Linked DNA regions of Tamandua tetradactyla. The protein of the gene in region 2 interacts with the protein of the main gene of each other region in a biochemical or structural test. Links are inferred from orthologs where the notes say so. Each region holds a gene or a part of one and is shown on either strand. Other genes may lie near its edges.

Region 1 (11,624 bases), on a different chromosome or scaffold from region 2:
CCTTATTTAACACCAGTCTTTGTACTCCAGACCAAGGTTTGACCAGGAACGCTTTCCTGAATAGGACATCTCACCTCAAAAGGGAAAAGAGGCCTTAACCTCACAGCTCCCAGTCTACCCACAGAGCAGAAAGGCCCCACACTCAGTCTTCAGCATCATCAAACTGTCCAGTTTCAAAGACCATCTTGGAATAATGGGGTATCAGTGGAGGTGGATGGTGCCAGCTGGGGTCATAGATCATGTCTCCTTGTGGGGCACAGCACACCCAAGGTTTGACCTCTTGAGAAATGCTCCCCTGGATGTCATCAGCATCTGCAGGCAGTTTTAAAATATAGGTTGAAGGGAGGTGGAAACGGAGAAACATATATGTTTCAGTGAACAAGCACTGGCACTTATTTTCTTAAAGACACACACACTTGCTAACTCTGTTCTCCTTTCCTGATGACCTGCAAAACATGTCCATTCTGAAGCACACCATGGTGAGCTTCCCAGACAAGGGTTCTTGGCAGTGCAGAGAAGCAACTGGATAATAAAGTACTTCTGGCTGCTGCAATACATCCATTCATGCAAATATTTTTTAAGAGAGTAACACTTTTAATGTTAAAACAAACTGCTACATTATAGAATCAACTGCAAACTTTGCATGTCCTTTTGTCAATATGAATCTCAGCTGCCAAAGAAACTTCAGACTTTCAATGGATACCAGGCTGACTTACGGATGTGGGTCCCACTTCCAAGCTATCTTTAAGGGTAAGTTTGATTGGAAGGTCTGAGGAGCCATTGTTGTACTTACCATATGGATTCTCTTGATCTGTTTTCAATTCCAAGTCCCAATCCTCATTAAACAGATCAGCAGTCTGCACCTTGGACATGCTGTCGGACATTCCTTCTGGCAGCTCCCAGGGATTTGGCTCTCCTTCAGAATCTTCATCTTCCAGAGGAAAGCCTTCCTCTTCAGAGTGGGTGCCTTCATCATGGGAAGGGGTATCATTTGTGATGCTCTGTGCTCCACTGGCTACAAAACCGATAAAAGCAAAGTCTTCAAATAACTGACAAACCAGAAAGAACTACTAGCATGCTTGGATGGCATGGGGAAAGCACAATAATTGGGGTAGGCAGGCATTAAAAATCACTCATACAGAGCTTGGTAATGCATTTGGAAAAATTCTTGGCAGACTTACACAGAAGGTCGTAAACAAGTGTACAGAGATCTTAGCCACCAGAGCACTAAAAATAACATTTTTGTTCTGTTTACATTTTTAGAAGTAGGGTTATTTCTTTTAAATAAGATGCTTTGCCTTTAACAAGGCCCCTAACTGCTAAGTCTTGTAATTTACAGCAGGGAGCCAGCAGTTTATATTTTCAGGTACTTTACATGTCATGGAGGCAAAGGGTCTCTGGAAAAAACACTTTCACAATACAAGCGTAGACTGAATTTTTGCCCTTCTGCTTCCCACTTCCTCCTCCCATTAGAGGTGAGCTAGGGGCACAAGGCGAGAGGGCAGGAACGCAGGCAAAGAAGAGCAAAAGCTGTCCAGTCACAACAGGCAGCCACCACAGAGCCACCGGACATCGGGGAGGGCTCAAAGACTCATTTTCAAAAGCTCTCAAAATAACAGAAGAAAGTCTGGCGAAGGATAATGCACCTCCAAGCATATGGTATGGTATGGCGGTATGGTGATGCCAGTTCAGACCAAGAAAAGAATCAGCCTTAGAACAGTCATGCTTTCAAGTGCATAATAATAAGAACAGCTATAAGCAACCAAGTACCAGTTCAGGGCATGGGTTCTCAAGCCAGACTACGAGTTCAAATCCCAGATCTGACAATTATTAAATGGGTGATTAAGCTAAAATTCACTTAACTATTCTGTGCCTCAGTTTTCTCATCTGCAAAATGAAGACAGGGTTATTATGAGAATTAAAAAAGAAGAAAAAGAACAAGAAACACTTAAAACTGCGCCTGCCACACAATGAGTATACAAGTGCTACTTCCTGTGACTATACCTACAGTGTGCTTGGCGCTTTGTCTAAAGCAGTGTTTTCCAATAGAATTTTCGGTGATGACAAGAATCATCTATAATCTGCTGTCTGATAAGGCAGCACCAGCCACATGTGTATACTGGAAATGTGGCTGATGCAACTGAGGAGCTGAACTCTTCATTTTATTTCATTTTAATTAATTTTAATTTAAATAGCACCAGTTGCAAGTGGCTATTGTATGGGTTAGCACAGTACTAGACCTCCTCCCTCAATCTTCAGAACAACGTCTTGGGTAGTTATTATTACTCCCATTTTCAAGACGCAGAAAGGCTAAGTGTCTCACCTAAGGCCACAAAGCTACAATCCGGGATGCTCTGACCCAGAGCTGAAAATTTTCTTTTAGCATTTTTTATTGTGAAATATAGCACAGGCACAAAAAAGTGATAAATTTCAAAGTATATTTTAACAAGTAGTTATAGAACAAATCTCAAAGTATGGTATGGGTTATAGTTGTACAGTTTTAGGTTTTTCCTTCTAACTGCTCTAAGATACTGGAGACCAAAAGAAATATCAATATGATTCTGCAGTCATGGCATTTGTTAAAACCTATCTTCTCACTTCCAATTCCTCTATCTCCTCTGATCCTTCTCCCAATCTTTAAGGATATTTGGGCAATGACCATTCTAACTTCTTCATGTTGAAAAGGGGTGTTGTCATTATGAGTAAGGGGATGCAACTGGTGGATGCAGAGCAGAAAAGTATCACGATTTTTCCCCAAAGATAGGCTCCAAAGCCTATGCTTGTTCCACTGTCCCAAGCAATTTCCCTCAGTGGAAGGGAGGGGTTTTTAAGGAAGCTCCAGCAGGGCTTCCAGACTAGGGCACTGTTGAAACACTAGGCAGAGAAAACAACTTGGCAGCAGAGGAAAGGACTGGCTAGAAGGATACAGTAACAAGTTTAGAGACAGCCCTCCTAGCCACACCCTCATCTCCTCTTCAATCTCTGCCAGCTACTTGCCTAGCCGATCCATGGCCTTCTGAGTCTCTGTCTCCTTTGGCTGGGGGTGGTCAGGTATGGCAAATCCAATCTGCAGGAAGAAGAAACAATTACCTGGGGATCTGGATATCTGGAGCATGCCTTATAAAGCTGCTGTCTCAACTCCAAACCTATCCTTCTATCCTCCACTTTGTGAAATAGGGACTGGGACTCTGCAACTCACATTTTGACTTTGCCTGTCAGACTGGCAAGGCTGGAAAAAGGGACTTGCTCCTTCCTATCCCTGTAACATCACCCCAGCAATACTTCACCCCCAGCAGCAGGAGTTCCTATAGCAGTAGCTGAATTCATTTAGTTTTCCAACACTCCCAGAACCAGCCTCATGGAGGCCAGGGGCGGGAGTTGGGGGAGGACCCTCTTTAGAAGATGGGATCCCAGAACCTCAAGGCCTCCCCTCCAGCTCAGGAATCCCAAGACCAGCTGGGGCACTGCCCCCTTCTTGGAGATCAGAATTTTCGTTCTGCAGGGTCTCTCCACTATGCTGTTAAGCTTTAATAATCCCACCCCCATGCCTTTGTTCCCTCAGCCCTAGGGCTGGTAGCTGGTTTCTGCAGTTGCCACCTATGTGTTCACTTTTTCCTCTTTCAGTTAATTGGTTAACTTTATAACTAGTTAACAAGTCTTTCTATCAAGTTTTCTTTTAAATAACTCGTATGATTTCTGTCTCCTGGCCAATACATGGCAGGGCAGGAGGGAGCTTTGGTTCCTCGGCAATACTAAACACCTAAGGGGATCCCTCTAACCTAACACAGAATTCTGTAAGAGGATCCCAATAGATGGATATCTTCCCCTAAAGCAAACCAGATGTATCTCTACTCCTACCAGTCAAAAGTTCCTGAAAGCAGATCAGCTCCAAAACCTCTTTCCAGATGAAACAAGAAATGTTCCCAGCCTGCCTGATTTCAATCCCAGCTCTGCCACTTGGAGTGTGACCCTGGTCACATCATTTTAACAACCGTGCCTGGGTTTCCTTCTCTGCAAACTGGGTCAATTGTTCCATCCTCACAGAGGGCTTACTATAACATTTATGAAAACACCTAGCATGTAGCAAGAATCCAACACTTGTTGAATTTAAATCTATTCTTCTTTTCTCCCACATCTAAACTGGACTTGGCACCTGCCCAAGACTTACTTCAGCATAAAAAAAATTACCACTGATGATCTAATCATGAAATTGAATAATCATCAATTGAATAAGCAACTTAATTATTCAATTCCACCTTATGTGGTCAGAGATAGCCCTTGGGCAGTGCTGCCACAGGTGGGGCCTCTCAGCCAGACCACTGCAATATGCAATAGCCTCCTAAACACCTCTTTCTTGTCCAGCCTTACAGTGTTCATGGCCACTCTGCTCTCAAACCTACAACAGCCCTCCATTGCCTGAGCAGAGAATCAGTCATGGCATTCAAGCCTCCTCCAAGCCGGATCCCCTTGAACCTGTTGCACATAATCCTCTCTTCCCTCTCCCTGACCAGAGCTCCAAGCCATCTGCTCCCACAGTTTCTCTTCTACATCCTTTGCAGGCACCACACGCTTACCCTGGAGAAGCAGCACACATCCCTTCCTATTCTCATCCTATTCTGCATTCCCAAGTAATCTTATTTGTAAGTCTATCACTACATTCTTCACATCCTACATTGGTCAAGCATTCCATTCATCCACCCAACTACTTAGGTGTCTTTTCACGTGCTAGGCACACTACACTGGACGCTGGGGAAACAGCTCTACACTGAGGGTTCCCACCCTTAAGATGCTTACCCTAACCAGGGATTATAGATCAGAAACAAGAGTAGGTGATGCCTCTAACAACGGCCTTTGAAAAAAGCAGGAGCTGTCTGGCGCGCAAATGAACACAAGTTTCTGGAAACCCTGCGTCAAACGAGGCCTTGTGGTTTCAGTTAGCATAAAAGGAGAGCGTGCATGTGGCATCATCTGGTTTAAGATGAGAAGCATCCCCACCAATGAACATATGTCGTTAAGGTAAATTTTCTTCCCTGGCCGCCCTCACCTGTCCCCTGCCCAAGCCCCAGCCCCCGTCGGTTTCCGCAGGGCTCGGTTATCGGTAGCATCTCCCATTTACCAAGTACGCACAGGCGTGAGGAGATAGCTTTCCCTCCCCTCCCGGCTTGCCCACCTACGTCCTCGGGAGTTCCAGCCACGCAATGGCGCGGCTCTACAGCCCCACGGCCCGGCCGTTTCCAGCTCGAGCACGCGCCCAAACGGCGCTCGGCATCAGCGGAGCGGCCGGAGGCGCTTCCCCAGCTCCGCGGCCCCTGCCCAGCCCGACCCGGCGAGCCCCACAACTTCCCGCCCCGGGTTGCAGATCGTGGCTGCCACCGGCCCCGGCGCGGCGCTCACCCCCGGGCTGGGGGACGCCTCCCGCGCGCTCGGCAGCGTCGGGCACCGAGGCGGCTCCGTGGCCCCCGGCTCCTGGGCCCGGGCGGCCTGAGGGTCCATGCTAGGAGACTCCGGCCCTGGACGCTCCTCGGCCACGTGATGCGCTGGCCTGGCTACCAGCCGGAGGAGACGCCGCAGAGGGGCCAATCAGCCGGGGGTGCTCCCGACCGAGAGGGGCGGGACACCGGGGTCACGAGGAAGTGGGGCGGAGCGGCTCAGGGGGGGCGGGGCGCTCCCGAGCAGGGAAAACCCCCTACCTACCGGTCCGAGAATCTGAAGCAAACTGGGGTATGATTTTTTGCTCATCAAGCAACCTTAATGCAGTCTTTTGGGACATTAAGTTAGAGCCTATTCCTTAATCTCCCTCAAAGAATGTGTTATTTATATACTAAATAAGGCATTTGAAAAAGTTTAGCTTAACAGTTGACATTATAACCAATGCTAGTTTCTTTTCTGTGTAGACTTTCCGATACGGAAACTGTGACCACTTAATGTGTCTCATTAGGTCGGATTGGCTCTAGGTCAGTGCTGTCCGATAGAACCTTCTGTAATGGTGGAAATAAATGTTCTGTTACCTATGCTGTTCAATATGGTAACCACTAGCCACATTGGCTATTGGGCAATTGAAATTTGGCCAGTGTAACCGAGAAACTAAATGTTAACTTTTTAAAAATTTTAATAAAGTAAAATTTGAATTGCCTGGATGGCTAAGGACTACTGTATTGCTCAGCTCTAGGTGAACTAGCGAGGATGCATTTTCATAACCTGCAATGGTAAGAACCAGATATAGCCTTGCCTAAAGGAGTGAAGTATTATGCTCTTTGCTTTCTTCTCCTATGGACAACAAGCATCTCTTTCCTGAAATAAAAACACTTGGTATGATTTAGAATGTTATTCTTCTCAGGGCTTAAAGGAGAGGGAAGAGGAAATTTTTTTATTTTAAAGCACGACAAACAAACAGTATGAAAACTCAAAAATGCACAAAAACAAACTAATATTCATAGGAATTTAATACATAATAAAGCTAGCATCACAAAACAGAGAGACACACGATTGACCCCATAAATGGTCCTGGAAAAACTACTTGGGGAAAAAACTGAGTTGTGCTCAGCATGAGAAATGACTTTCGAAACATCTTAAAAATAATAGGAATCGTCTTGCCTGCCATGCTGGGAAACCTGGATCCGATTCCCAGTGCCTGCCCATGTTAAAAAAAATAATAGGAATCATATAAAAGCCTCTGGACAGGTAAAATAAAAAAAATAATAAATTAGTAAGAAAAAAACAATTAAAAAAAAATGGTGAAAGCATGAAAAGACCAAAGAAACTTGGGGGAGGGGGAATGAACATTAACTTCATTAATATCAAAGAAAATTGATATTAATTTTCAGAGTAAAACAATGACATATCACTTTGCACCTATCAAAGTGGTAAAAAAAAAAAATTAAAAAACATAACACCCAGTACAGATAAGGACGTTGGCACTCTTATACATTGTTTGAGTGAGGAGCAAATTGGCAATACAAATCAATATTCTTTAAAATAAGTTGCTATCCTTTGATCTAATAATGCCACCATCATTGGAGAGTAATCTCCTAAGGAAATAACCAGGGATATAAACAAAGATTTACAGGACTCTTCATTAACAGCATCTATAAGAAAAAATTACAAATAACAAGTTCCAACCATAGAGGATTTTATAATAAGTAATGTCTCATTTATACAATGGAATGCCATAGTCCATGAAATATTTTTAAAGCTACTTGGTAACATGGGAAAATAACATTTTAGGGGAAGCACAAATATCACAATACACTGAATGCTTGACCCACTAATGTAAGATTTAGTTAAAAGGCATAAAATTCTAACATTTGCCTCCTCTGCTCCCATACTGCCTTCTCTACTCCACGCTATGTTACATGCCTCCACCTCTGAAGTACTCTACTACTCTAGTGTACTCCTTACCCCTTCCATTCTTTTTTTGCTGGGGCTCCCAAATTCAACAGTTGTTTGCTGATCAGTCCGAGAGAGAAAGGATACTTTTATATTGTCTTAACTCTCTTAAAGGATAATCTATTCCTTGCTGATCAGTCCGAGAGAGAAAGGATACTTTTATATTGTCTTAACTCTCTTAAAGGATAATCTATTCCTTGCTGATCAGTCCGAGAGAGAAAGGATACTTTTATATTGTCTTAACTCTCTTAAAGGATAATCTATTCCTCAATACCCAGCACCTCCATCTCTGCTGCTTCAATCAACTCTCTTAGGGACATCCAGCTCAGTTCTTCCATCCCAGAAAGCAACCTTCTTTCCTGCACATCATGAGCACTCAGATATTTCTTGAAGGAATAAATGAGTAGATGATCTGACACTATAAATCCAATTCTGATATAGGAAATCAAAATTACTGAGTTTGACTTCAAACAGTGGGATTACAAGATGCTTTTATTTTCTTCACACTGTCCTATTTCCTCCATATTTTCTACAAGTACATACCACATACTTTTAAAATAGAGAATAAACAGAACTGTACTTCCTCCTCCATTTTAACTGGCCCCTACATCTAGATTAGAGATATACATGATTAGGGAAATAAATGAAACTCAGTTATATGATTTCCATGTAGTTTGGAAAACATTTAGAACCTAAGGCAGGTTCTTCAATATGGTAACCACTAGCCACATGTGGCTACTGGGCAATTGAAATTTGGCCAATGTAACTGAGAAACTAAATGTTAACTTTTCAAAAATTTTAATAAAGTAAAATTTGAATTGCCATGATGGCTAAGGACTTGTATCTAGCAGCATAGCTCAGCTCTAGGTGAACTAGCGAGGATGCATTTTCATAACCTGCAATGGTAGGAACCAGATATAGCCTTGCCTAAAGGAGCGAAGTTATACGATTTCCATGTATTTTGGAAAACATTTAGAACCTAAGGCAGGTCCATCCCCAACAAGTAGTTTCTGCCACTACACAGAAGTTCTCTTTTTTAAAATTAAGGATTACCATATTAACAAAATTGAAGCATATCTCAAAATCAGACAGCCATCTTGTCAGCCATCTCTGAGCAAATTACAGACTGACTCATAATACAAATCTGTCCAGAGGGCTCACAACACTATTTAACAAAGCTGGCTGTGTTCTTCCTCTTTTCATAAATGGCCAGCCTGGTGCATTGCATGTTTAGCTACAAACGCTTCTGTTAACTCTCCCTGCAACATCTTCATGGCTCGCCAATAGATCTGTCCACAATTCTCAGGTCTACCAAGGGGGTGGTTCAATTCTTCTTTGATGTAATCCATCCAAAGATCTTTAAAAGGCACATACCAAAAACAAAAGTGTAAATATACAATTAGATAACAGGCATGGCTTTGTTAGTTAATTTAATTATTTAATATCAATTCAACCCAAGATTTCTAAGAAACTTCTTGCTATTATCTCCCAAAGACCCTATATGGAACAATACCTCTCTCACTTGTACTCTTTACAGTAAGGTATATCAAAAAAAATCTTTTAGAAATAGAAAAACTTTTACTTCAATCATGAACATCTGTATTACTTTGTGAAATAAAAAATATTAAACATTTTAGAGAGATTCTGCTGAGTCTCTTTCAAGGTGAATCTGACCTCAATCAATCTCACTGTAACCTTGCCAGCATACCCAATAAAACTTGCTCAGGATAGCAAAAACGCAGCTTTCATTCACTTCTCCAGGAAAAGGTGTGCTGAAACTATACAGGAGTTAATTGTTAAAATGTGAGTTCAGTAACAATACATGTCACTGTTTTTTAATTCATAAAGCCTTTATATGAAGTATCTATACTCAGAGGCCTGTTTAACAAGTTCTACAAATGAGGGTAATGTGGTGACAACCAGTGACAACTAATGCCAATCTGCATACCACAGTTACCTTTTCGGCTATAATTCACACATTATTAGCCTTTCCCTTACAAATATCATATTCTTTTAGTGAGCCAAACCAAGCATATCTTTCTCTAATCCAGAGTTCTTAATAGAAGACCATCAGAACCTCAGGCTTGTGAACTCACTAGAATTATGAGCAAAATTATGCATACAAGTATTTATACACAAAGTGAGGGAAGAGGCAGGAAAAGGATATATAATTTTATTCTCAGTGAATAAAATATGGCCCAGAAAAGGTTAATAAACATTTTTCTCATGATACCAATAGGTCACAGACAGCACATGCAAAGAGACTCACATCTTTGACTGAAGTTTACTTACCAGAATCTACAGATCCAAACTCTCTCAAAGCCCTCTCATAATATTCTCTTAAATTCACCATCTTGCAGGATTCCTAAAAAAATAAATCAGATGATATTGCCTCTAAAGCCTAATTTATAATGACTCAAATCTGTTTCCACAACATTGTTAAGTACCTGCCACATGTTAGGTACTTGAAAGAGGGGCAGGGGAAGGAGGTTTGGACGAATAAAGCCTGGCTCTCAACTTATCCTGAGAAAAGTAAAATGCAAACAACTAGTACTACTACTCGCCAGAACAAAGTAAATGCTAAGCAATTATAAAAACGCTTTGCATGGTGGCATGAAGAAAAGCATATTTAATCCTCAGTGGGGGAAGATGGGCAGCTTCACAGACAATAGGAAATTTGAGAGCCTTAAGGGATGAATAGGATTGAAATAAAGAAAAAAAGGGGGGGACAATTCTACTCCCAATGGCCAAGGATACTTTTGAGTATCTGGGCTCTGAAAGATACTACTTATTTCTACCTTAAAGCTTTTTTAAATCAGGCAAAGTATAAACGAATACTAGTTATTTGCTCTTCAGCAAGTTTGTTAAACCATCTAGCCTTGAAAGTTTCCTCACATGTAAAACAAGGATAATACCTCTTATAGCAACTATGAGGATTAAATTAAAATGCTGGTTAATTAAGCACTTAGTAGAATAGTTGGTACTAGTTTTACAATCAATAAATGTAATCTTCTACCTACTTCTGTTTAAATGCATTCCCTTTTGTTCCATTTTCAAAGCAGATTACCATCTTTAGTTTAAAAATCCTCTCGTACACTCGAATAACTATTTCTCATTCAAATGTCTCTTCACTGGGACTGAATTATTTTACAGAGACGGTTTACTCTTGTAGTTTGCACATTCCTGAACAACAGAACCACATTTTACTGAAGACTTACAATGTGCATGGCACTATGAAAAGTTCTTTCATCTAATATCTCATTTGGTCTATAACCCTCACACTCCTGAGACAAGATAATATCTCTTCCTCTTTAGGGTGCTATGGCTCAGAATTTAGTGATTTGCCCAAGGCACATAACTACTATGTTATGACTCCAAAGCCTGGCTATTATGCTATGCTATCTCCTCTACTGTAGGATATAACAACTAACTGGATCAAAAGACAAGAACAGTACTTGGCCCATATAATAAAGAGCAAAACAATAGAGATACAATAAAGATACATACAATATAGGGAGCTCTTTACTGAATAAAGAGAGTTCAACCTCACTAGGAATTTTACAAAATTCAAAAAATAAATAGACACCAAATAAAATGTGAAAATAAAGGGGAAAATACAAAACCAAATATTGGAAAAATTGTGAAGACATAAGTATACTGGTATACTAGCTTGGTATCATTCTTTTTCTTTTTTTTTTTTTTTTCACATGGGCAGGCTCCAGGAATTGAACCCGGGTTTCTGGCATGACAGGTGAGAACGCTGCCGCTGCTGTCGCACCACTTGATATCATTATAAATAAGTATATTTCTTTTGGAGGTGATAGAAAGTGAATGGGTATCCCTAGTTCCAGAAATTTAGCTCAAGAAAATAATTCAAAAGGAAAAAAAGAAAACAAAACTTTATGTAAAGAAAATGCTTGTAGCAGTCTGTTTTAAAATAAAAAAACTAACAACTTACACTTAATAGAATAATTTAGGAAACTACAGTTTAAGAATAATATAATAGAGGTACATGGGTAGTTTTACCATTAGCTGGTAGAATTATCATTAGCCATGCGGGAGATCAAGGTTCAATTCCTGGCCCATGCACTCAAAAAAAAAAAAAAATACAAACAACAACAACAAAACAAACCATTCAACAAATATAGCTGTAATAACGGGATATTCACATGGAAAAGAATGAAATGTGACCCCCATCGCACAGCACACACAAAAAAGAAATGAATAAAACTACAATG
Region 2 (11,957 bases):
CATATGGGGAAACTATACCTAATGTAAACCATGGACTATAGTTAATCATACTATTTTAATATTCTTTTATCATTTGTAACAGAGTCGCCACACTAACGCAAAGTATCAACAGTAGAGGGGTATATGGGAACATTTATACTGTAGTTTTTATATGACTTTTCTGTAAACCTACAACTTCTTTAATTAAAAAGTAATAATAATTAAAAAAACATTATGCTAAGTACAACCAGACACAAAGTACTACATATTGTATGATTCCATTTATATAAATATAAATATAAATTACTCTATTGAGAGAGAAGTACAGTAGTGGTTTTGTAGGGATGGGGGTTAGGTTAGAGGGATTGAACAGTGACTGGTGAGGGGTATGGGTTTTTCTTTTCTGAGTAATGAAAATGCTCTGAAATTGATTATGGTGATGAATGTATAATTCTGTGAAAATACTAAAAGACACTTGATTGTATACTTTGGATGGACGGTATAGTATGTGAATATATCTCACTAAGACTGCTTTAAAAAAAAGACAGCTGGAATCTCATACTGCTTCTGCATTCTCTTTGCAGATTTGTTGTTTTGGTTGAAGTAAATGAAGACAATCTAGCTTCACACAGACACTTAGAAGGTACTTCCGCACCACCTGGAAGGGTCTTGGGAATCCCCCCAGGAACCTTTGGCCACATTTTGGAAAATGCTGTTGTAAAGGAAAAAGCAATGACATGGAAATAGAAGAACTGTAGTCTCATTCTGGCTCTTCCATTTGAGTGAACCATAACTTTGGTCAGGACACTTAACCTCAGTTTTCACACCTACAAAATGGGTATTGATAATTCCCACTTTCAAGATTAGATCCTGAGGATTAAATGAGATAATATATATTTAAAGTGCCTAGCATGTATTGGAGCTCAATGAATATTGGTCTGGCTAGGAGACTATTACGTCGTTGCTGTGAACCAAGAGTGATTGTTGGAGGGTGGACAGCTACAGGAAGGAGCCTGTAGAGCTGAGGGGGTCTTAGATAGGCCTTCAAAGGAAAGAAGGATGTTAACCAACAGAAAGACCAGGGAAAGATCATGGGTTCTAAACACACTTTAAAAATGTTTTCCATATAATATAAACATGCTTGTTATAGAAAATTTGGAAGACTAATTTTTCCCACATAGTTGAGGGCATGCTGAATGCACCATTTGCAATCTCTGTCGCATAATGGCACATCATGAGCATTTCCTATGTTATCTAATTTTCTCTGACAACAATTGATTTTAATGGCTGCTTATGGTTTTATAACATGATTTATTTAACCATTCCCCTATTGGACATCCAAGTTGTTGTTTTACACTTTTTGTAATTATAAAGAATGCTAAACTAAGCATTTCTCTTAATTAATATTTGTTCTAGTTTCTGCAGCTTTTCTAGGAAATCTTTCTAGAAGGAAAATTATAGATAATATGCCCTAAGGTGAAGCGCACAGGCTCTGGTGTCAGATGACTTAGGTTTGTACTCCATTTAAAACCCTTCTTAGAATCAATGAGAGGGAGGGATAAGGGGTATGGTATGGATGAATTTTTTTCTGTTTTTGTTTTATTTCTTTTTCTGAATTGATGCAAATGTTCTAAGAAATGATCATGATGATGAATATACAACTATGTGATGATATTGTGAGTTATTGATCTTATATCAAGAATGGAATGATTACATGGTAAGAATGTTTGTGTTTGTATGCTATGTTTAATAATAAAAAAAAAAACCTTCTTAGAAACCTTGAGTCTAATGCCCCTTTTATCCATGGTGAGGACAGATGAATAAAGCAATATGGATAAAAATAAGTAAACAATAGGGGGAGTAAGGGGTAAAATAAATTGGGTAGATGGAAATACTAGTGGTCAATGAGTGGGAGGGGTAAGGGGTATGGGATGTATGAGTTTTTTCTTTTTATTTCCTTTTCTGGAGTGAGTGATGCAAATGTTCTAAAAAATGATCATGATGATGAATACACAACTATGTGATGATATTGTGAGTCACTGATTGTACAACATATATGGCGTATAATCAGCGAGTGAAGATTTGTCAATAAAAATGTTAAAAAAAAACAAAACCCTTCTTAGGTGGGCAAGTCACTTAACCACTGTAAACGTTCCTTACCCACACAAAGATAAACGTCTTTCCTCACTGGGCTCCTGTGAAGATTCAAGATCATCCAACATTAAGTGCTTTTCATAGAGCCTGGCACAAAATAAGGGCTCAATAAACGTTAGCAGTTATCACAAATTAAATTCATACTTGTATATGTGCATACATATATATATTTATACAATCACACAACTGGCCTATTTATGGGATATTGGTTTGGCTCTTTGATTCTCTATTCTTGTACAAAGTGCACACCGTAGCTCTTTATTTATATATTGCTTGTTTCAAAAGGCACTTGAGGTAAAAGGCTAAAAAAATTTAGCAGTTCCCTCTAATGTCTCCCTCTTTTTTTTCTACTTTTTGCATTTTGTTGTCTGATTTTTTTTATTGTCTGACTTTTATTACAAACGAATGGTGGAATTACTTTATCAAGTAACAAAAGATTCTATTAGATTTGTGATTGAATGTTATAAAAGTCAGAAATGAATGTGGTAAGAATTGACATCTTTATAAGATTATTTTTTTCCATCTAAGAACATTATTTGTCTCACCATTTTCCCCCAAATATTCTATCTCCCAGTAAAATTTTTAAAGTTTTCTTTGATAGATTCCTCACATTTTTCAGTAAAATTTATGCTAAGTATTTTGTGGTAGTGTTATTGGAACCCCTGTGAATGGGGAAAATACTAATCATAATAACTAATGTATATTGAAGACTTACTATGCGCAAGGTAGGTTCTAAATACTATACTACATTAATACTCACTACAGCTTTATGAGGTAAGATGTATTATTTACATTCCCATTTTACGGATGAGGAAATGGAGGCCAGAGGGTTTAGGTTCTATGGTTAGTAAATGGATAAACAGGGCTTTGACTTCTTACTATTTGGCTCTATGGGTCATGCTCTTAACTGGCCCCTTATGTTGATATATTTACTAATTATCTCTTCTAACTGCTTACTGTTAGTATATAAGAAGGCTACAGATTTATTTTATATTGTCTTGTATAAGTGACCTCTCTGAATTCTATTATTAATTCTCATCACTTAAAAATTGGTTCTAATCCTGGAAGTTATTCTCATGCATTATATAGATATCACCTTTTTAGTGAAGGTGTAATGGAGAGGCTGGAGGGAACTGCCTGAAAATGTAGAGCTGTGTTCCAGTGGCCATATTTCTTGAAGATGACTGTATAATGACATAGCTTTCATAGTGTGACTGTGTGATTGTGAAAACCTTGTGTCTGACGCTCCTTTTATCTACCTGATCAACAGACGAGTAAAACATATAGATCAAAAATAAATAAATAATAGGGGGACAAATGTTAAAATAAATTTAGTAGATTGAAATGCTAGTAATCAATGAAAGGGAGGGGTAAAGGGTATGGTTATGTTTGAATTTTTTTATGTTTTCTTTTTATTTCTTTTTCTGAATTGATGCAAATGTTCTAAGAAATGATCATGATGATGAACATACAACTATGTAACGATATTGTGAGTTATTGATTATATATCAAGAATGGAATGATGATATGGTAAGAGTGTTTGTGTTTGTATGTTGTTATGTTTAATTAAGTAATTAATTAATTAATTTTAAAAAGAGACAAGTATAAAAAATTTGGTTCTAATGGATTTTCTATGTTTACAATCATATCCTCTGCAAACAATGATGAATTTGCCTCGTCTTGTCCAAAAATTATAACCCCTTTTTTATATTTTTAGTCTTTTTGCATTGGATTTTTCAGAACAATATTAAGTAACTCAGTGATGAGACTAGATATTCCTACTTTATTTCATCTTTATATAAATTGTTGACTTCATATATAAGAAAATTAAGATTATTAAAATGTTTAGAGAAAATAGGAATTGACTTACATTTACCATGTTTTCTTCAGCAATTATTAAAAATGATCAATGTTTTTCTTTTTTGGTTTGTTACATATAAATGGATTTCCTAATACGTAATTTTGTGTTAATTCCTTGTAGGGTTAATTGTGGTATAATTACTAGGTCGGTATAATATAGAATTTTTTTACTCAAATATTTTAGGATTTTTTTACATTTATATTCATAAGTGAAAATTTTCAATAGTTTTTTTGTGTGTACATGTGCGTTTTTGGTGCTATTTCTGACAGGTTTTGATATTAGGCTTATTCTAGCTTCATAATAAATTGGACAGTTTTCTATTTTTTTCTATGTTCCAGAACAGTTTCTACTTTCTATTCATTTTGACAGATAAACACTGTATAATAGAGATGACAAGGAAGAGAATGCAAATGGGCACAGATTATTTTGCCTCAGTAAATCTGACACTTTTCTAGCTGGAGGACAGTGTTGATTGCCAAGAAGCAATTTGGAGCAGTCAGAGGGTCAAAGAGCCATTATTCTGGTGATGAAGAGTGCAGCTGGCTGGGCAGGCACAGAGGTGAGTGAGGGTGGACCTGGGGAGGGAGGCAGGTGCTGCGGGAAGCGGGGGGGGGGGGGGGGGGGGGGGGGGGATGCACAAGAGAAGATGAAAGGAGTGCTGGCAAAAAGGGAAAAAAACAGGATCAGGGATCAGGGCCTGACAGTGGGGAATGCTGTTTTGCCCTTCTGTTCCACTCTCCCTACCTCCATCCCAGGAGAGGCCTGCATCCCACAGTAAGAACAGTGGTTCACAAACTTCAGAATTCAAGAGGTCAGTTTGTAGGGCCAAACATAGAGAAGCAGAGGATAAGATAGGTTTCACTAACTTTACTTTTTTGCCTGGGGCCAAGTTCAGTACAAGGTTTTCTATTCTTTTTCAGTCTTTCCCTTTTGCTCCTCCCCTGTTCAGAGAGGTGGGCCCACAGTTATATGCTGGGTTCTTCTTTTATTTAATGGCACAGACAAGTGCTGTAGGAAAGGCAGAGAGCAATCTGGTATGGAATTATGGGGAACTGTTCAGCATCATACTTGCCACACATCTGAAGCCTATTCTGAATGAAAAAACAAAGACAATACAGATAAATGAAATTCAGCCCATCTAAACTCACTTTAAGATCAACCCAAAACTCTAGGCTCTTTTTACATGAATCCTTTTGAAAATTATTTTAACTGATGGCAAAAGTGACATTTCTGTCTCATAGATTTCCTTCTAACCCATGGATAGGTTAGTTAACAACCAACAGAGCAGCCGCCAGCTTGCATTAGGAGTGACATGCCAGGAGCACAGATGGTTCACAACCCAGATAATGAGCTTCTGAAGAAGAAACATCTAATAAGTCTTCTGCGGATGTGGAGTTTGGTTGGGCATAGTTGGGGCAGAGAATGAGCAGGCTTCTGAAACAACCCTTTTTTACCTCTTAAAATGTCTGTGGAGCTCTCACCCACTTCTCATGGACAAGAACCTACTGCAAAGAACTTCAGGGAAGAATTCCAAATAAACTAGGCAGATACTCCACCCTAAGGAAGGGAGCACAGATACCCACTCCTTAATTTTAGGCTGACATAACTTTCTTCCAATGAGTACAATATGGGGGGTGGGGGGTCGGGGGGAGAACAACTTCACATTGGAGAAACCCATTCCAAGGTTAACATCAACAGGCATAAATCATGTTGATAGAATGTATCCTTGATAAGGAAAATGGCACTTTACCTTTGTGATATTCCTCTCCAAATCCTGTATTCTCGGTCTAATCATGAGAAAAACATCAGACAAATTCCAACAGGGGGCCAACCTACATGACACCCTACCAGTATGCCACAGAACTATCAAGGTCATCAACAACAAGGGAAGCCTGAGAAACTGTCACAGCCAAGAGGAGTCCAAGGAGACATGACCACTAAATGTTATGTGGGATCCTAGATGGGATCCTGAAACAAAAAGAACATTAGGTAAAACCTAAGGAAATTCGAAATGACTTTGGATTTTAGGTAATAGCAATGTATTAATATTGGTTAATTAATTGTAACAAATATACATTATTAAGATGTTAATAAAAGAGGAATAGAGGAAGTTGTGTGTTGTGCGTGTGTAGAAGCTATCTGGGAACTCTGTGCTATATGCTTAATTTTTCTGCAAAACTAAAACTGTTCTAAAAATAAAGTAGAATAAGAACAAGAATACCTGCAGGAATTAAATGAGGACTAAGAGAGGACAACAGTACCTCCAATCTCTTTAGGCTCTATGGGTCATTTCCTTAATCCTTTGGCTTTAGGACTTTCATCCTTTACATTACAGGCGAGCTCATCCTATCCACGCCCTTTGCGTGTTTCCCAGGGCCACGGTGACGTCATTCACTCGCCTGTCTGCGGTCACTAGCTCTTTTCTGGTGACTTCCAAATCTCTTGCAACTCTGTTTTCACACAGCGCCCCCTAGACGCCCAAGGCAGCATGTCCAAACCTCAAAATGATTTTCTCTGGAGTCGGTCCCCTCATTTCTTGTCTCACCCTCGGGTCTCATTTCTCTTTCTCACGGCCCCTACCAACTGGTCACCCGTGCCGGCCAACGCCTCCTGTTTACGGCCTCCTGTGCTGTGTTCTCTCCTTATTGCCAGGTCCTTCACATCTCTGGACTCCATTGCCTTTCTCCCCCCTTATGGCTTTCCTGGCTTTGTTCCTTTCCTTCTTTTCCGTCCCTCTAGCTGCTGTGGACGTGGGGAAATGCAGACTTTCTGTCGGGCCTCCTGCCAGGCAGCACCGTGACTTCCGTCCTCTCTAATCACTCGTCGGGAATTCCTTTTCTCCAGTCTATGGGAATGGGTGTGCTTATCTACCTTTTGTGTTTGAGACATAGAATCACGGAGAATTAGTGGTTACCACGGTAAATTTAAACATGTAACATACTAAAGGAACGGAGCCCATTTTAAGAGACCCAGCCATTAATGATATTTTCTCACTGTGAATGTAGATCTAGGTAGTGACACAACCACCACCTCTGAAGAGGATAACGGGAAAAGGCTGACATAAGAGAGCTGCACAACCTAATAGAATTAAGACCTAAAAACGAGATGATAACGAAATCTAAAAAAGAACTAAATAAAAAGCTCTATATAATTAATAATAGACCGTGTAATAAGGTAGCCCTTGTCCAACCGAGCCAGCCAGGAGTCGAACCTGGAATCTTCTGATCCGTAGTCAGACGCGTTATCCATTGCGCCACTGGCCCTAAGACAAGCCTGGTAGTCCCAGTGATGATACTTCAAGCTTATACTGCAGGGGTTTATGGGCTGTGTAGTCAATTAACAGAAGTCTGGAAATACGTGAAGCATTGTGGGAAATCGAAGTTCGTCACGAACTACACCCTGCGATTGGTGCATTTTGGAAAGCCACGCCGTACATCATGGTGCCGCCCGCGGATTGGCACTTCTCGCCGGCCCGCCTCTGCTCGCGCGGTGGGAGAGACTCTGATGGTTAAGCAAATTCGTCCCGCCTTCTGGCGGCTTTTTCTCCGCTCTGTGATTGGCTGCTACTATCAAGGAATCCCGGCGTGGACAGCGCTAGGGGAAAGATGGCGGCGATGGCGGTCGGAGGTGCCGGTGGGAGCCGCGTGTCCAGCGGGAGGGACCTCAATTGCGTCCCCGAAATAGCTGATACTTTGGGGGCTGTGGCCAAGCAGGGGTGAGGGCCCTGACCTCTGCAAGCGGAATGCGGGGTCCAAACTCGCGGACGGAGAGGGGCAGTCATTTTCGAGAGGCAGGAGTGACGCGGTCGGAGTGGATAGGATATGGGCGGGAAAAACCATCACTTCTTGGAGGGAGAGACCTCGATCCTAGGAGCGTGAGAAAGGAAACTTATTGGGAAGGGCGTTCGTGTGGTCACTGAGCCCAAAAGTTGGGGGAGCTGTTAGGTGAACCCCAAAAAGGGGAGTGCATTCGATCCTTCAAGGCCCTAGAAGTCGAGATTATTTTGTGGGAGTGGGAGTGGGAGGAATTGTTACCTGGCAAGGAGGAAAAAAAGGTTAATTCTGAGAAGGGAGGTCCGAGCAGTATTGGGACAGATTCTGTGTGCAGGTCCCGAAAGGCCTATAGAGCGAAGTAGCAAGAATTGTACTTGGCTTGGATTTCCTTCTCTTCTCTACTCATATTTGCCATGACTGTGTTTTTTGGGGAAGTTGAGGCACAGTGTAGCGGAAGTGATATGCTCCAAAAGATGGACAGCAGCTCAGGGTCATAGACTGATGGTAGCTTAAAAAGGCCTGTACAAGTGGAGATACTATAAATCCAGTTGCTTGGACTTCTGGGCACAGTTGCTTTACATAATGACTCTGGGTCTGTCGCGGTTATAGGTTTGATTTCCTCTGCATGCCTGTCTTCCACCCGCGTTTCAAGAGGGAGTTCACTCAGGAACCTGCTAAGAATCGGCCTGGCCCCCAGACAAGATCTGACCTACTGCTGTCGGGAAGGGGTAGGGACCATCCCGTGTCCCTTAATTATCATAGGCAGTAACAACTTATGCTTTATCAGAGCTCTCATTCTCCATTTCTAACTTGGAAATATTGGTTAGTCCCCTGGGATAAAGATACTCTTGCCTTCTCCATCTTTGCTTGTTAAAAGCCTTAGTTCTCTATTTTGGATTAGAGTATCCCATATCTGTGATAGAAAAAGTCCTTGTCTTTCACCTCTACTTTATTCCCTGCTAAGAACTAGAAATTTAGAGTAAAGTGCTGAACTTCATTTATTCTTTGTCTTTCTTGGGGCTGTGCAGACTGGAATACACTAATTGTGGGAAAGCTTTCTCCATGGATTCGTCCAGACTCAAAAGTGGAGAAAATCCGCAGGAACTCAGAGGCGGTAAGATTGTCTGTCACCTTTCCACTGAATCTTTTTTCATTTGAAGATTATGTCTGTAACCAACCTGGGTTTTTTCCTCCTATAGTTTGGTGAATCAAGTATCTTATATAATGGTATTAAACATATTTGTGGTGTGAGCTCTTAACCTTTTCCTCTTGATCTCTATTTCAGGCCATGTTACAGGAGCTGAATTTTGGGGCATATCTGGGTCTTCCAGCTTTCCTGTTGCCCCTCAATCAGGAGGATAACACGAACCTGGCCAGAGTTTTGACCAACCACATCCACACTGGTCACCACTCCTCCATGGTATGAGCAAGGGGCTCCTTTCCTGCTGCATATTATAATAGTCAGGCTGTGCTAAGTGTCTTCTCATGCCTAGCCATTCAGTGTAGGGTGCATTTTGCAGAATTGAAGTATCAGCACTGTCCACCCCCCATCTAAAATTAGTATGCAGAAAGTTACAAAGTGTATAGAATATGTCAGTTATTTATTTCCTGAAATTTAAGAGTTGAATTAAATGACAAGGCAGGGGTTTATATAAGGACATAGATATGATACCCATAATATGTACATAGTTACAAATTGGGAAAAGTACATAAAGGGATTAAGTTGAGATCTGGATCAAGATCTTTTTAATTGGAGAAGTTTTCTGGACCCAATAAGTTCAAAATAGAATTCTAAATAGCATACTTGTTCTTGTGCAGTTTTGGATGCGGGTACCGTTGGTGGCCCCAGAGGATCTGCGGGATGATATAATTGAGAATGTACCAACTGCACACACAGAAGAGTACAGTGGGGAAGAGAAAACGTGGATGTGGTATGTCTCCCTTTTGTGCTGCTATATGCAAGGGTAAAGGGTAAGAGGAAGTACAGGGTGGAACTTGTAGTGAGATTTTCTTGAGATGTGGTGACTGGTGGCCGTGTGAATGTGACTGTATTTTTCTGATTTGATTCTGGGCAGGTGGCACAACTTCCGGACTTTGTGTGACTATAGTAAGAGGATCGCAGTGGGTAAGTTCATGAGAGTTCTTGTCTAGGTATCCCTTCTTGATCTCCTCTGAGAATCAGTAGTTAAAATTTCATGTATACTTGGCTACTGGGCAATTTTGCTACTTTTCCCGTACCTCAGTCTGCCCTGTTCTTAAGAAGAGTAAGCAGGCCTTGCACAAAGAAGCAAGGAAGGGCTTCTTTCTGGCAATAGTTGACAGGTCTTTCTCTTCCCTCATCTAGCTCTTGAAATTGGGGCTGATCTCCCATCTAATCATGTCATTGATCGTTGGCTTGGGGAGCCCATCAAAGCAGCCATTCTCCCCACCAGCATTTTCCTGACTAATAAGAAGGGATTTCCTGTTCTTTCTAAAATGCACCAGAGGCTGATTTTCCGACTTCTCAAGGTAGGTGGTAGAAGAGTTCTAAAGGTGGTCCAGCTGGTCCTCTTGGGATCCTTTCTTGTGGAACTCAGTCTTCCTCTCTGGTTTCTAGAGAGCAATTTTGGCAAAGTTAGAGTCTTGAGAACCACACGACAAATAGCATTTGAGGCCCAGAAAACTGGAACCAGATCCCATGAGAATTTAATTATTTTTATTTTGTCATTTAATATTTTTGAGAAATCTTTACACACATACAGTTCATCCACAGTATACAATCAGTGGCTCATGATATCATCACATAATTATGTATTCATCACCCTGATCATTTTTAGAACATTTGTATCACTCCAGAAATAGAAATAAAAAGGAAAAACTCATACATCTCATATCTCTTACCTCTCCTTCTCATTGACACTAGTATTTTAATCTACCCAATTTTTTTTTCTACCCCTTATCCTCCTTCCTATTATTTGTTTATTTTTCCTTATTTTTTTCTCATCTGCCCATACCCTGGATAAAAGGAGTATTAGACACAAGCTTTTCACAATCACACAGTCTCTTCTAGTTTCCTAGGTGCAGAATATGATATACCAGAAACAGAACAGCTTTTAAAGGGGGGAATTTATTAATTTGCAAGTTTACAGTTCTAGGCTGTGACAATGTCCCAATTAAAGCAAGTCTATTGAAATGTCCAAATTAAGGCACCAACAAGAGGTTACCTTTATTCAAGAAGGCCAGTGATGTTCAGGGTTTCTCTCTCGACTGGAAAGGCAAATGGTGAGCATGGCGGTGTCTGCTAGCTTTCTCTCCAGGCTTCTTGTTTTATGAAGCTACCTCAGAAGCGTTTTCTTCTTCATCTCCAAAGTTCTCTGGCTGTGTGTGTTCTGTGTTCTCTCCAAAATGTTTCCTCTTTTAAAGGATTCCAGTAAGCTAATCAAGACCCACCTGGAATGGGTAGAGTCAGAACTCCATGGAAGCCATCTAATCAAAAGTTCCCACCTACAATTGGGTGGGTCATAGCTTGGTGAGAATTATCAAAAAGCTCCTAGCTAGCACTGATGAATGAGGATTTAAGGACATGGCTTTTCTGGGGTCTACCACAGATTCAAATGGGCACACAGTTACACTGTAAAAGCTGTATAGTTACACAGTCTTCAATAATCGAGGCTACTGGGAACACAGTTCAGCAGTTGCGGGTACTTCCCTCCAGCCACTCCAATGCACCATAAACTAAAAAAGAGATATTTATGTAATGATTAAGAATAATCTCTAGGATAACCTCATGACTTTATTTGAAATCTCTTAGTCACTGAAACTTTGTCTCATTTCTCTCTTCCCCCTTTTGGTCAAGAAGGCTTTCTCAATCCCATGATGTTGGGTCCCGGCTCATCCCAGGAGTCCTGTTCCACGTTGCCAGGGAGATTTACAGCCCTGGGAGTCACATCTCATGTTGGGGGGAGGGCAGTGAGTTCACCTGCTAAGTTGGCTTAGAGAGAGAGGCCACATCTGAGCAACAAAAAAGGTTCACTGAGGGTGAGTCTTAGGCATAATTATAAGTAGGCTTAGCTTCTCCTTCGCAGGAATAAGTTTTCATAGGGTCAAACGCCAAGATCGAGGGCTCAGCCTATTGAAGTGGTGAGAATTTACCCAAACTTTCACTTAAGAAGTTACAGCAAGGGTCTGTGGGGCTCCATAAGCCAGGATGA

The links.
Region 1: the proteins of PRMT5 (region 2) and COPRS form a complex in vitro, tested with the Homo sapiens proteins (3 studies listed by BioGRID, with this or other methods). The link is inferred for Tamandua tetradactyla from reciprocal best matches to the Homo sapiens genes PRMT5 and COPRS.

What each region holds. Positions count from the first base shown.
Region 1 is NC_135332.1:50,613,089-50,624,712, forward strand, and holds the start of COPRS (coordinator of PRMT5 and differentiation stimulator), read right to left. Parts: upstream 5,607-11,624; 5' UTR 5,494-5,606; coding exon 5,395-5,493; intron 3,068-5,394; coding exon 2,998-3,067; intron 1,016-2,997; coding exon 794-1,015; intron 313-793; coding exon 143-312; 3' UTR 1-142. Other genes in the region: UTP6 (U3 small nucleolar RNA-associated protein 6 homolog), read right to left, coding at 8,586-8,743, 9,679-9,751. UniProt on the Homo sapiens protein: Histone-binding protein required for histone H4 methyltransferase activity of PRMT5.
Region 2 is NC_135340.1:31,975,362-31,987,318, forward strand, and holds the start of PRMT5 (protein arginine N-methyltransferase 5), read left to right. Parts: upstream 1-7,543; 5' UTR 7,544-7,599; coding exon 7,600-7,709; intron 7,710-8,376; coding exon 8,377-8,495; intron 8,496-8,795; coding exon 8,796-8,881; intron 8,882-9,052; coding exon 9,053-9,187; intron 9,188-9,585; coding exon 9,586-9,698; intron 9,699-9,842; coding exon 9,843-9,892; intron 9,893-10,111; coding exon 10,112-10,275; intron 10,276-11,957. UniProt on the Homo sapiens protein: Arginine methyltransferase that can both catalyze the formation of omega-N monomethylarginine (MMA) and symmetrical dimethylarginine (sDMA), with a preference for the formation of MMA.